4 linked regions of the Xenopus tropicalis genome follow. The protein of the gene in region 2 purifies or fractionates together with the protein of the main gene of each other region. This does not show direct contact. Links are inferred from orthologs where the notes say so. Each region holds a gene or a part of one and is shown on either strand. Other genes may lie near its edges.

Region 1 (3,571 bases), on a different chromosome or scaffold from region 2:
TAGGACCAAGAACAAAACACTATATATATCTGCTTAAAAAAAAAAAAGCTTTTCAGACACTCAAACATTTACATAGATAGTTTGCAATGCAGTGGTATCTTTTAATGCAATCCTTATCCCCCCCCCCCATTCCAGTCTGTGATTTACCGCAGTAATAGAGGGCTTCTTGCCATCACCAGCAGGTGGGTGTGTAACATCTGCTCCAAGAAATATAACTGGCTGCTGGAAGACCGCAGACCTGTTGAGATGTTTAAAATATATAAGCTGAATATTTAGACTAATTTCACATTAAAGATCCCTGTGACTGTTCTTCTAAAACATATTTTTATTGGCTACCAACTGCAGTGGTATTTCTAGAGACTGTTTTGACCCCAGCAGGTATGAATTTAAAAAAAAATATATAGTATGTTCTATTGAATCTGTATTACAAATATATACCTCCTATTTATCTCAATGCCAACCTCAAATATAAAGGTTTAATATTAGGCCCCTTTTTAAAGGATACGGTAAGTAAGCCTTTTATATTATATGTATAATAAAACGTAAGAAAGTAACCGATCTTTAGCTGCAGTTTTCAGCTTTTTTCAGATTCAACGTTGGGAGAGAAGTGTGTCATTATTGGGGGCTGTTTAAAGACTTTTTATGGATTTTAAAATAAAAGCTTTAATGCATTTAACAATTCACACAATTTTTGAAAATGTATCATTTACTATCAAACTAATAAAATAATAAGAAAAATCAGCCACATGCAATTTTACACAAACACAATTCAGGTATAGGATCTCTTATCCAGAAACCCAATAACCTGAAAGCTCCAAATGATGGGAAGCTTATCTCCAATAGACTCCATTTTAACAGAAATAAGTTTGGTTATGTTGGCATATAGGATATATATGGCATGCTGGTTCAGAAAGTATACTTCCACTGTAGTAATTTGTTAGTAAAGTATGTGTCCCGATGACAATGTCAGTATGATCATTTTAAGGAAACTAAACAAGGCTGGTTAAAATAAGTAGTATAGGATATACAGCAGGGAAAATAAGTATTGAACACGTCAACATTTTTCTCAGTAAATATATTTCTAATGAGGCTATTGACATGAAATTTACACCAGATGCCTTGCAGTGCTGGGGTCCTGAATTTGTTTCCAGCAACAGGTAACTACGTGGGTTTCCTCGGAATACTCCAGTTTGCTCTCACACTCCAAAAACATACAGGCAGGTTAACTGACTCCTGATAAAATTTACCCTACTGTGTGTTTGAATTTGATTGGGACCTTACGCTCCACTGGGGAAGGGACTCATGTGAATGACATATTATTTCTGTAAAAGCACTGCGGAAAACTGTCAGCGCTATATAATACCAGGTAGAAATGTTACGAAAGTTCCAATATAATAAATGGTAATAATGGTAGTTCTAGTTTCACCCTCAGTGCAGTTAAGTGAACTGAAAAACCACATGGCTATTAGGGCTCTGGTACACGGGGAGATTAGTCGCCCGCGGCAAAACTCCCTGCTCGCGGGCGACTAATCTCCCCGGGCGACTAATCATGTAAGTCGCCGGCGGGATGGCAGACGCGGCGGGGCGATTTTGGGAAATCGCCGAAAAAGGCTCGCGAGTCCATTTTGGCGATTTGCGCGAAATCGCGCCGCCGCGTCTGCCATCCCGCCGGCGACTTACATGTTCGCCGGTGGGATGGCAGGGGGAAGGCAACTCGGGGAGATTAGTCGCCCGCGAGCAGGGAGTTTTGCCGCGGGCGACTAATCTCCCCGTGTGCCAGAGCCCTTAAAGTGAAGGGAGTAAAAAAAAAACAAAACAAAAAAAACTGCTATCACACTGTGTGCACAGCAGAAAATGCACCGTTGATAACGCACCGTTGATGAGGTACTAAAATGTTGTTGATACCACCCAGCTTGACATTGATCTTCAGGCAGAGGTTGCTGAGCGTCTGAGGAGAAGTCTTAACTACATTTTTCACCTGCACACACTGAGTGGCCATCCCAAGCAATGTATCCCCAACACGTTTCACTTCCGCTAAAAAGAAAAAAAAAAGTTATCATTACCTTATTTTAAGCAATATATACCATCCAAGCTTACACTGTCTTCCACAGAGAACTATTTCCTGACTGCAGCACTGAGGACAGGAACAAGCCACAAGCAGGCAGTCTTTAAACTCTGTTGGGCTCTACTTAAAACACAAAGAAGGGAAAGTGGGCGTAATCACTGCTTTTTTCTCAAATAGTCCTATTTAGCAGCTAACTCAGGCTTAGGTGGTGGAATCAATTTGTATAAAAATACGTGTAAACGGGAATAGTGTAATCATGCTAGCCCTGAATAGAGTCATCCCACTGAAAACCATTCATTCTACAAAAAAAATATAGAGCCTGTGGTGTAAATGGTTAGATTGCTTTTCTATTTTGGAGGACCAGAGTGGAAAAATTGAAGCTTTATATTATATTGCTGACATTTTATGAATATACATTTTAGCTTCATGCAAATGTTGTAGTTTATCTCCTACTAAAGGAAAGTATTTATTCTAAAATATAAATGTGCTATTTTCTTAAGTCAGACAAATGCCATGGATTATACAAGGTCACTTTGGCCACTTCAGTGGTTCCACGCTAGTGTGGAACCCCAAATATATAGAGGACACAAAAGCAAGGTTACAAGTGCTGGTGACTACCTTCACCAAAGCCTATAAATTAGTAAGTGAATACGCTTCCATTGGTGATCCACTTGTTACTTTTGTGGAGGGTCTGTCACCCACCACCTTTCATCTCCCATCCCACCCTAAAATGTACTAGTGAGACAGCAGCTTTTTAATTTTCAATTGATAATTACCATATACAGGTGTTTTCCCTGGCAGAATAACAATGATGAGCTGAAGGCCAGAATATGTGTTTTTCAAGTGCCGGAACATGGGCTCCACACTGTCTGCCCCCTGTGCATATTTACAGAAGCATGGCTGACCCTGGATTGGCATTCCTGCATCTTTTGAGATTTTGCGGAGTTGGTCGGTAAAATTTCTGGAATGGGAGGGAACAGAAGTCAGGATCAAAAAATAGTTACCCTTTTTGTTTGTGCCATGGCTAATAACTCACAGCAACCAATTAGCAGTTAACATTTACAAGTAACCTGATCGGATGCAATGGGCCACTAGGGCTGCCAAACCTCACCTAAGCTCACCCATGGGGCAAAGTCACTCCCTGCCCTGTGTGTTTAATAAAGAAATGAGGAAAAATGTAAAGGTATACTGCCACTTTCTCAATACACAAGACAGTTTACAAGGCAACAATGATAACGTTAAAGCTAAACAGCTATATGTTTTTTCTGATATTAAAAGATAGAGTAAGTTTTGGAACAGAAAATTTTGCAGCAGCCCTCGCCTTTGCACTTACTTCAGCACTTCTTCCCTGCATTGCTTCTGTGGAGCGAAACATGCAATTGCCCAGACTTTTATCTCAATGCCATTGTAGAACTGCTTTCCTCGCATGTCCCAGACACCTTGGTTTGGAGTTGCAATTGCTCTGTTCTGCAAAAAACAAATTTGTTTTAAAGTAATTTATTCATA
Region 2 (3,571 bases):
GTTATTTATTAAGGTATTTATGATTAAAAACAATATCAGTCTGTTTGTTTACCCGGTTAGTAAGTCTAAATAAATATATATGTATGTGCGTGTGTAGATAGATAGAGAGAGAGAGAGAAAGAGATATATAATTTTTTTTTTTTTAGACAGTCAACCTTTTTATATTTGAATTTATTAATGTATTGGGAAAAGAATTTTAGAAATGCACTGTGTAAGGCTGTTTCAATTGATTTCAGCTATACAGTATTTGTATTTTCTCTTAAAGGTACTGTGCTAGGCTACCTAGTGACCCATTTACTCATCTTGCTCCTAAGTGCAAAACACGAGAGTTCCCTGATGGACTTTATCGCTCAACACTCTACCTGCCAATTAATTCTCCACTTAGAGCCCCCATTGTTGTAAGTACTTGGTAAGAATGATATTACCAACCACAAGGCTTAGTTGATGAACTACTATTAATCAGCTTTTTGAAACGGTGATTTTTTTTTTTATATTCTGTACCAGTTTTAAGGTTAATGCATTTCGCTGGAACTTTTTTATTTAAATTAGTAATGCACCTCTTGGATATTTAGAGTTTATCAAGGGGACTGCTAAACATTGTGCCTTGTTTCTTTTATTTAGAATATGGCATGTCATATCTTTGAATAGGATCATTTCTCATATCAAACCACAAGTTTTTGAAGCAGTTCTCTGAAAACATTTTAATGTTTCTAGGGCCCTCCGATGAATTGTGGAAGGCTAGCTGATAGAGCTGTAGCTCTTATATGCTGTAAAAAACTACATGAAATTGGTAAGTAATTTCCTATGAGAGAGAAATTAAAAGGTCAGTTCCAATAAGTGTTTGTGGCATGAAAATTTCTGTGTCCGCTTCCTGAACCATTTTTATCCCTTTCCTTGTGACAAGTGCTGCTTCCACTACAGCCTACTCAGTGAAGGATTCTAATGTAGTATGCCCAATTAGCAGTGCCACACTTAAAGGACAAGAATGGCCAAAATGTTAGGCATCCCCCAATGGAAAATATTGCCTTTTCAGAGAAAACTGTACAACGTTATTGGTACTAATGCGATTCTCTCTGCACCGGTGGCAAAAGCAGAGAGTCAGCTGTGCCCCCTCGCCAACGAGCCAAGGGGGCTGGCATGTCGGTCCAGCGACTAAGCTTTTAAAATATTTTTAAAAGCTTAGGTTGTCCTGAAAAAAAACTATATATTGTTTTCCTGGTTAAACTAAAATCCCCCCCACCCCTGGGGAAAGACCCCTAAAGTGATACAGTGCAAAATGTTAAACTGGCAGTAGAAGCTGGCAGTTAAAGGGTTAATTTGACATTGCTGAGTGACACTTAAATAAACCTGCACATTTAGTTTCTTTGGTGGAATTGCCTGCTTAATAATGTCATTGTGTTCTTGTTCTTTTATTTTAAGGTGAACTGGATGATCATTTAATGCCAGTTGGCAAGGAAACTGTAAAATATGAGGAGGAGCTTGATTTGCATGATGAGGAAGAAACCAGTGTTCCAGGCAGACCAGGATCCACAAAAAGAAGGCAGTGTTATCCAAAAGCTGTGAGTGTGGTTGATTGTTTATCGCCAACTTTGATGGTTTGGGTAATTTTATTTTACTGTGCAATGGCATTTTGATCTGGAACTTAAAGGGGTGCTTCACCTTTAAAATTTTTTTAGTATGTTATAGAATGCCCTGTTCCTGGCAACTTCGCAGTTGATTTTTATTTATTTTTTTATAGTTTTCCAATTATTTACCTTTCTCATCTGCTTCTTTCCAGCTAAACTAAAAGAAACTAAATAACTGGAAAACCAATATCAATATCAATGTCTACATCATATTAAAAGTTAATTTAAGATGAACTACCCCTTTAATAATAAACCATAAGAGACAAACAAACATTTTACCTGCTTAAGAATTAAGGGAATTAAATTCAGTCTGCTGCATGGGGGCTCTTATAAATATATGGTACAAATGAATATAAAAAAAATTACACAGCAAAAACTATAAAGTTTTTCCCTCAAGTCTGACATACTTTGTGATTAGTTACATTATTCTTTGTCTTCAGTGCTGGAGGCATTATGTGACATAAAACAATCTGGCATTCACATCTGCAGTATCTGTTGTAATAGTAGCATACATATGCTTTGTACTATGTATGTATGTGGACTACAGTTAAGAGAAATAAACTAGGCGATGTAGATAATCAAGCTGAAAGTGGTCTTTAGGGCTCATGTTTACATAGCAGATCTACTGTATGAAAACCTCCAGAAAATGGCACATTTGATGCCAAATAGTTTTTGTAGGTACTGGGAATCAAACATGTAAAAAAAAGTATGTATAAATTTTATTCACTTTATAGCATCACTATTTCTTTACATAGTTTTAGGTGTGCCTCAACTGTAAAGGTGGTCATACATTGGTTGATAAAGCTGACAACTTTGTCCTTCTGCCCCTTGTATGCATTGGCACATTAATGTGATCCTGTCCTGAGGACTTGCATTGGTGACCATTATGATCAAATCATTGGCCCAAGGGCAAAATGATCAGATCAGTCTATTTCCCAGCTCAAAGTGGGAGTATCATGGAAAGATATGCATGTTTGTAGACCTCACCAAATGTTCAGTCCTTACAAATAAGCTGACTGTTTAGAATGTTTATTCAGGCATAATTGAAAAACATATACATGGGAAGTAGCATGCATATACACCACCATTTAATAGAAGAAATAAAATTACAAAAACATAGGGCCCGATTCACTAAAGTCCGAAATAAGGAGTGCTATTTATAGCATGCGTTAAAAATCTTATCACTTCTTATTTTTCGCTCGATTCACTAAAAGGACACTTGTCATAATTAAGAAGCGATGTTCTTGGCGTTATTTATCTTGCGACGACATATTTTCAAGCAACGTGCTGCGTAATATGTTGTGCGCTGCGTAATATATTGCTTGAAAATATGTCGTCTCAAGATAAATAACGCCAAGAACATCGCTTCTTAATTATGACAAGTGTCCTTTTAGTGAATCGAGCGAAAAATAAGAAGTGATAAGATTTTTAACGCATGCTATAAATAGCACTCCTTATTTCGGACTTTAGTGAATCGGGCCCATAGTGTCTAAATTACAAAGTTCTTTACGCAAGGAGTGCATGGTTGTGGGATGGTTTCATTTAGATTGAGATGACCCCGTATTTATTTGAAAGCAAATCAGAAATAATTCTGGGAAATAGACAAAGTTCTCCTGACATCTGGTTTATGCACGGATTAGGAGTTTACTTCCTCGATTGAGCAGTTCTCATAGTTTTTAAAGCCTTCTCCCAACCTGCCCCTTCCATTGCTGCTATAGATAAGTGGGGAATAGACTGAGACATTGCCAGAGAGGGCAGAATATACAATGTGACATCACCAGAGGGGAAACACTCAGACAAAAGTTAGGTTTGCAACCTGTGACTAGAGGAGATTGTCTGCATCTCCGAGGCTTTTGGGTCAACTTGCACATCAAGTGTTCTCCTTTCAAATTTCCTGTAGACTACAGTTCATCCAGTAGGTTTTATAGCGCTAACTTTGCATGCTG
Region 3 (3,096 bases), on a different chromosome or scaffold from region 2:
TGAATAGTTGCAATTTATCAAAGAAAAGGAGACGCCAGAAAAACTTGGCAGGTAAAAAAACAAAAATACTTTTTTAATAATATCTGTGTTTAAGCACCCTTTTCTACATAGGCCCAACTCAATGAGCTCATGTAAAAAAATGGTGTATGTTTCTCTTGATATGTCCCTTAAAGGGATTGTTCAACTTTAAATTAACTTTCAGTATGATGTAGAGAAGGCTACCGAGACAACTTGCAATTGGTCTTCATTTTTTATTATTTGCATTTTTTGAATAATTTAGCAACCAGGCAGTGGCTTGTAAAAGAAACAGAAATATGAGAATAGAAAATAAAGAGAGGGGCCTACATAGAAAGATAAGTAATGTAAAATATAAAATTGTAGCCTCACAGAGCAATAGTTTTTGACTGCTGGAGTCAGTGACCCCCATTTGAAAGTTGGAAAGAGTCGGAAGAAGCAAATAATTCAAAAACTATGAAAAATAAAAAATGGAGACCAATAAAAAAAATGTTACTAAGAATAGACCATGCTATAATATACTGTACTAAACGTTAACCAGAAACTGAACCACCCCTGGACAGTAATAGCGTTTGTCAAAGCACACTTCCCACTAAAGTTAATTGGAAGCTGCAGCTGATACAGAGGAACATTGCAGTCAATGTGGTTCAACCTAACAGCAATATAAGGGCAGTGGCAAATGGGGAGATAAGTCACCCCGTGACAAATCTTCGTTGCCGTGGGCAACTAATCTCCCAGCAATACCACCCCACTGGAAAGAATGTAAATCGCCGGTGGGATGACACATGCATCGCCCCTCCTCTTGTAGCGACACGTATGCCATCCCACTGGCGATTTACATTCTTGCCGGTGGGATGGCATTGCGGGAAGGTTAGTCGCCTGCGGCAACAAAGATTTGTCGCGGGGCCACTAACGTCCCCATCTGCCACTGCCCTAAAGGTCACGAACCCTATTTGCACCACATACCTAATACTACAGACAGAAATCAGGCCAAGTGTTCTACATCAGATTCTAGTGGGAGACTTAGTAGCATGGGCAACGTTTGCCCAGTAAAATAACCCATAGCATCCAATTTTATGTCTGCTTTCAAATGTTATGGGTTATTAGAAAGGCGCAAAGCTTGCAGTCTTTTATTTTATATTGACACATACTTACTAGAGATATATTCATATTATCAACTGGAATGGCCTTAAGTTTGGTAAGAAGTTTATCTGCAGCAACCCTCTTGGCTACTTTTTTAGAGGTTCCAGATCCTGTTGTGAAAAGTGAAAAGTGTTAAGCAGTGTAAATTTTAAGTACATGTTATACTAAAACTTATTGGGTACCAATGCTGGATATAGTACAACAAGACATGGTCAGACTTTCTGTATGTGAGAAACTAAAAGCAGAACAAAGATTTGGTGTAAAATATCTGGACAAGAATTCTGGGACTTCCCAACAATCCCAATAACAGAAAAGGCAAAGAAAGATCAGAGATTTTATCTATCTACCCACACACAGCCATCCATCCATCTATCTTTTAAAACTGCTCTGTGGGGAGAAGTATAAAAAGAACGCTCAGGTCCAGCAGACATCTAAGTAAGCACAAACATAATCAGTCCTTAGCTGCACTGAAGAACTGATATTGTAATGGGATTCTCAGCAATTACAAACGGAGAGCTTTATTATAGTGAAATCTGTATTTTGTGGGGGTATAAGTGCTGCCCCCACTATCATGCTATAAGCAAAACACATACCAGTTTCTACAAAGGTTTCCACACGGCAAGTTATAGTGAACTCTCTTTCATGAGGGGGACCGGACTCTTGAGCCACTGTATATTCTGGAAGGCGCCATCCTTTCTGCACAGATAACTCCTACAAGAACAAAGACAGAGGCTTTCTGATCTTTCACTTCAGTGATACAAAAGTAGATCAGGGGTGGGGTGTGACCATTTTTCCCATTGGGGTCCTACTTTACTTGCTGGCAGGGCCCACAACTATGGCACCCTTGGGATGTGCCTTGCTAAGTAGTAAAGGGCCCCATGATTAGTAATGGTAGCCCTGCTCATGCACACGTGCATTATACACATGTACATAACGACCATGTCCGAATCCAATATGGTAGCTGTCCCTTAGACCAAGAGTGAGAATAACATCAGTCATTCGTTAACATTAGAATCAAACACGAAATAGAGGCAAAAAAACCCATGATAATACCTGTAGTGAGCCAACAGGATTCTCCTTCATCTGATTCAGTGGTTGCTTGGGCACATCCCTTACAGTATTCTTTACAGGCAGGCTGTTTATATAGAGAGGACAGCAGAAGGAAGTAAACTGTTATTTCTACTTCTTGACAGGACATATGCAATACTCAATAAATATATTGTGACACACAGTGTATAGAAACCATAGAAAAGATTTCCAGTTTATTACTCACCATTTGCCAGTGCTTCCTTGTAATATGTTCAGTGCTGATTCAGCGGCTTTTTGTTTTGCGGCTTTCTTGCTTGGTCCCTCTCCTACATGTAGAACAAATAATATTTACTGCATAAACCCTGTTAAAGACATGTTTTGTGTACCTGAAGCAGAGGCAATGTAAAATTTCAGCAGGTTTACCAATCATATATCTCAAAAACTTCCAGATTAGGTGCAAAGAAAATAACTTGCAAGGGAACCCAATATAGTCACTGAAACACACTGAATGGCTCAGTTGTGGACTATGAAGAATGCTATATGGCAGCTCCCATTTAATAACCTTTGGGCTCACACTCGATCAGTTTAAAGTTATTTGAAAGCTTGTTAAGGGATCACATACAAAATTATGTACTGGAGAATGCCATTATGAGCAGTAATCAGCATGGCTTTATGAAGGACAGGTCATGTCAGACCAATTTAATTGCTTTTTATGATGAGGTAAGTAAGAAGCTGGACAGTGGGGATGCAGTAGATATAATATATTTGGATTTTGCCAAAGCATTTGATACCGTTCCCCACAAACGACTGCTTTCTAAGCTAAGGTCTATTGGTCTTAGTGAAGTAATTTGCACATGGATAGAAAACTGGCTACAGGATCGGGTACAGAGGGTGGTTGTTAATGGTACA
Region 4 (4,036 bases), on a different chromosome or scaffold from region 2:
AACTTTTTTGTAGCTTTACTCTTCTCACAGTAGCTGAAGTGACATAAATGATTGACCATATGGAGTGTCTTCATCTTGGGGCCCCTACATACCACATACTTTGGTAAACCTATACACATTGGCCATCATGTGTGAGATAAGATTCTGCAAATGGAAGCTTTGAGGAAATTTTTTAAAAAAAATTAAAAACTGATAACTCTAGGAAAGCACTGCAACTTGGTAGTTTGGAGTAAAGAGACATATTTACTAATTTTGGATTCATCAGAATTTGTTCTTCCCAAAAATGCATGGTTTTCTAGGGTGAACCTACTGTTAGTCAAATTTTTGGCCTTGAAATCTGAAGTATGCAGATTTCTGGACCAGTGCTTTGAAATTTGGTAGTGTACCAATGAAAGTTTTGGGTGAGAAATCCATGAAACTCCATAAAACTATAAATATTTGGTATTGGTATGTTCAGTACATGGTACTTTCCAAATCAGTTGTATTTATTTGCATAAAATAAATGATGTCTCTGATATGTGTTTACATTATGGATTTTTTTTTATTTTTTAGCTATTTAGAAGGATATATCTTGTTACAGAAATGAAATTATACCAACATTCTAGCATATTTTAAAACCTATAAACTTAAGTACCCCCAGTAAAGGCCCCTAAAATGAAGGAGCACAAAATGTTCAAAAACCGTCAATAGAAGTACAACAAATACACTGCCAGTGAAAGTGGTAAAGGGGACCTTAACTAAACATTAAATCAGTGTTTGTTTTTAAGAATCAGACCCAGAAAACATAAAGGAATAAACAATGTAACTGAAATTAGGTCCCCAAAGGTCTTTTCAGGAGTCAGGGCCAAGAGTGCAGAGAATACAAACCGTCAAATACTACTTAATAGCAATTATATGTACAAATATAGAGAGAACCCCTTAATTAGCAATTGTACAGTTGACAGAAAAGCTGTATTAAACGGCTAGATCAGGCATATGGTAGATTAAGGATTATTGGACTTGGATTATTGACAATTTTGTCAGATGAAAGGCAGTGAAGAGGAGTAGCATTCCTGCATTATATGTTGTGAAAAATGTGTAATATAAGCATATTATAGGTTTTAGGACCATATATACATACATATAAAAGAATGAGGCTGAAGGCCAAGAGCTTTTATACAGGTCATGAAACACCCCCTTCCCTTGTGGCATCAGCTCCACAGTCTGGGAACCACTGCCTTATTTGATGCATTACTTTGTTCTCAACAATCAGCAGCATAAATGCAAAGGAAAGTGGAAGCAGGAGACTTTTACAGCTGTGGTGAATCTTTTGCTAGCGCTAGGGCACAAGACAACTACTATATATTTGTTATTATGGTGCCAAGTTGACTATTAATGGACTACTGACAATCATGGTTAAGGAAAGGAAATACTTATTTATGTCAGTTATCCAACACAGGTAACACTTTGGCAACTTGTTTTTTATTTGCAATGCTTCCAATGGGGTTTAAACAAAGAAGCATTTTGTAGTCTACCTACAGTTCAATACACAGTCTATAGCCAAATGATTAAGTGCAACAATACATTTTGGAAAAAAAAAGAGAAAAACAAGCAATGCCCCTTTGTTGGATGTGTATTTAGCAGGAAAAAAATGAGAAATGACAGGGACTAATGGGGTATAGTTGCAGCACCAAAAAAAAGTCTAACTTTCCTCAAGCTGTTGGACTACACTCTGCTAATCTTTCCACAGCTACCTCTGCAACAGTTAGACATTACCACTATACACTATCAAATCAATTCCAGAGGTTCCAGAATGCAGAATGCTGTTGACAGAATGTTGAGTTAACAGAACAGCAAACTATTCCTCACCTGCGGTTCCGATTTCCATTCATGGAGGTCAATGGACGCTTCACCGAATCTGTAGCTCCCAATGAGGAGTAGAAAAGAGATGGCAAAGAGTTCCTCTTGTCTCCTGGAGTACCCTAAGCACTGGGGCCTACTGCCCCCAAAGACAAGACCCTTTTGAGCCACCAACAACCAATGGCACTGAGCTTTTGCAGGCAGATAGAGGAAAGCTAGTTGGCAGTGTAGTGTAGTAGTCACTCTAAGAATGGGGCTCTCTCTTGGCTTCTCCTGCTGGCTTGTCACACAACTCCACAGCTGGGGGGGATTTAGTCACCTGGCTGCCTGTTTTCACAACAGGAGTTTGTGATAAGAGCTTGACAGCTGAGCAGCAATTGGCTGGAATGAACAAGTGGGAGGGGAGAATGGATAGCAGCGCAATGGCGGTTGCCTTGGTGATTGGCTGAGTCACCTCCAAGTCCTCATCGCTTACTTCCACCACACTGGCCTGAGTGGGGAACCCCAAAAGCTGGTTGGCTGACTCATACTCCAGCGACCGGAGTGAGAGCTTCTTGTGCACCCCACTGCCGCCCCTGATTGGTTACCTTTTTGCCAGAGTGTTAATTTTCAATGAAAGCCAACAAGCGATTGGCTGACTTCTTCCAACACCTCAGCGGAGTAAGAGCACCTGGTCGCTATTGGCTGCCGAGGAGTATGGGGGTCCTCCTGTTGACAGGGCAACAGCTAGGAGTTTATTGGTGAAGTTTTCCGTCCACGTCAGCCAAACAAATTATGTTATCTGCCTCTGATGGAGCAGCAGCCACTGACTTCGCCCGGTCCTCCTGTCTCCTCCACTACTGAGGAGGAGTGAGACTCTGATGCCTGCACCCTCCCACTCAGGCCGGACATGACGCCGGGAGTAACGGTAGCTGCTAGTTCCTAGTTGCTAATGGCGAGTGACATCACAAACACGTGAAGACGTGGCGACGTCTCCAACACGTAACATTCGGCGCCTTCTTCAAACGCCTGTATAAGTAGCTTATGGGTGAGTTCGCTCCTCAGTGGTTACTCGGGGATGCTATGGAGAGAATGGCTTGTTAAAGGTAGTGGCACAGCGTGCTATTGAGTGAGTATTGGGTTGCGCTGGGAAGCATTATTTGTTTTCTTGGGATAGGATTAAATGCAGGAGTTTATTCAGTTCTTGCCTGAATACTGGGGCTCTTGCTGTTCAGTGGAGGCTGTGGATCTTTTACACACTTGCTATTCTCTGTAAGGAGTGTGCCCTTAATATTAGGGGGTTGTTGGAGCCTGCTTATATGTGGAGTGCTTGTATTTCTTGCTTTAAGGGTGCTGATGAGTTTTGGGGTGTGCGTTTTGTTGGTTTTTTTTTTGGGGTTTTGATTTTTTTTTCGGTTATGTTGACATGCTGCACAATTCTGAGCTATGGGGAAGAGTTTTGGAGAGTTAGATAATTTTGGGGGTGGCTTTTTTTTTTCTATTAGGACATTTAGAGCCTAGTAGGCGCCTTCTTCACTTGGCTATATAAACAGAACACAGTCCAGCTCTTAGTGGTTACTGGTGGATGCCTGGAGAAGAACACTTCACTGAACGCAGGAAGTGCTTTTAGCTCTTTTGAGTTGAAATGATTCGCTTTTGTAGGTGTAGAATAAAATCTGTATTCACTTTTCCTTGTGGGATCTATCTGTACATTTGGAAAAAAGATGCACTTGCTGTTGCTGGCTATAGCTGTATGTACACTTGCTGGTCTCTGTATGGTGTGTGTGCCCTTAATATAAGGGGTTATGTGTCAAGTGGTTTTATTTATTGGTGTAATAGATGCTCTTAAGTTTTTAAGTGTGTGTATTTTTGTTTTATTGAAGTGGGTTTTTTATTTTTTTTGTGTATTCTGACATTTTCAGGTGAAGGTGGGTGGATGTGCTGCAAATGTGTGAGCTATAGGGATGAGTTTTGGAATTTGCTTACATTTTTGGTGTGTTGCATAATTTTAGGGGATGGCTGAATTTTTTTTGAGGGGACAGGTTTTTGTGTGCTTAGGCATAATTCTGGTGTGTGTGTGTGTGCGCCCAGGAACGGACTTTCCTTGTCACATGACCATACTTTGGGGCGGGCTGATCGGGCCTGGATGGGATGCCACCTGGAGCGTTTGAAAGATGTGCGATGTCTGCGACTGTTGCAGTAACCGGAAGCAGCTGTT

Evidence for each region.
Region 1: the proteins of dicer1 (region 2) and ago1 purify together in Homo sapiens (co-immunoprecipitation; 7 studies listed by BioGRID and IntAct, with this or other methods). This does not show direct contact. The link is inferred for Xenopus tropicalis from reciprocal best matches to the Homo sapiens genes DICER1 and AGO1.
Region 3: the proteins of dicer1 (region 2) and prkra purify together in Homo sapiens (co-immunoprecipitation; 4 studies listed by BioGRID and IntAct, with this or other methods). This does not show direct contact. The link is inferred for Xenopus tropicalis from reciprocal best matches to the Homo sapiens genes DICER1 and PRKRA.
Region 4: the proteins of dicer1 (region 2) and ago3 purify together in Homo sapiens (affinity purification with mass spectrometry; 3 studies listed by BioGRID and IntAct, with this or other methods). This does not show direct contact. The link is inferred for Xenopus tropicalis from reciprocal best matches to the Homo sapiens genes DICER1 and AGO3.

What each region holds. Positions count from the first base shown.
Region 1 is NC_030678.2:81,780,136-81,783,706, forward strand, and holds part of ago1 (protein argonaute-1), read right to left. Parts: intron 3,533-3,571; coding exon 3,399-3,532; intron 3,027-3,398; coding exon 2,842-3,026; intron 2,035-2,841; coding exon 1,875-2,034; intron 239-1,874; coding exon 148-238; intron 1-147.
Region 2 is NC_030684.2:88,595,678-88,599,248, reverse strand, and holds part of dicer1 (endoribonuclease Dicer), read left to right. Parts: intron 1-265; coding exon 266-398; intron 399-714; coding exon 715-790; intron 791-1,419; coding exon 1,420-1,559; intron 1,560-3,571. UniProt on the Homo sapiens protein: Double-stranded RNA (dsRNA) endoribonuclease playing a central role in short dsRNA-mediated post-transcriptional gene silencing.
Region 3 is NC_030685.2:64,079,797-64,082,892, reverse strand, and holds part of prkra (interferon-inducible double-stranded RNA-dependent protein kinase activator A homolog A), read right to left. Parts: intron 2,514-3,096; coding exon 2,432-2,513; intron 2,294-2,431; coding exon 2,212-2,293; intron 1,870-2,211; coding exon 1,752-1,869; intron 1,269-1,751; coding exon 1,171-1,268; intron 1-1,170. UniProt on the Homo sapiens protein: Activates EIF2AK2/PKR in the absence of double-stranded RNA (dsRNA), leading to phosphorylation of EIF2S1/EFI2-alpha and inhibition of translation and induction of apoptosis.
Region 4 is NC_030678.2:81,760,036-81,764,071, forward strand, and holds the start of ago3 (protein argonaute-3), read right to left. Parts: upstream 2,814-4,036; 5' UTR 1,868-2,813; coding exon 1,849-1,867; intron 1-1,848.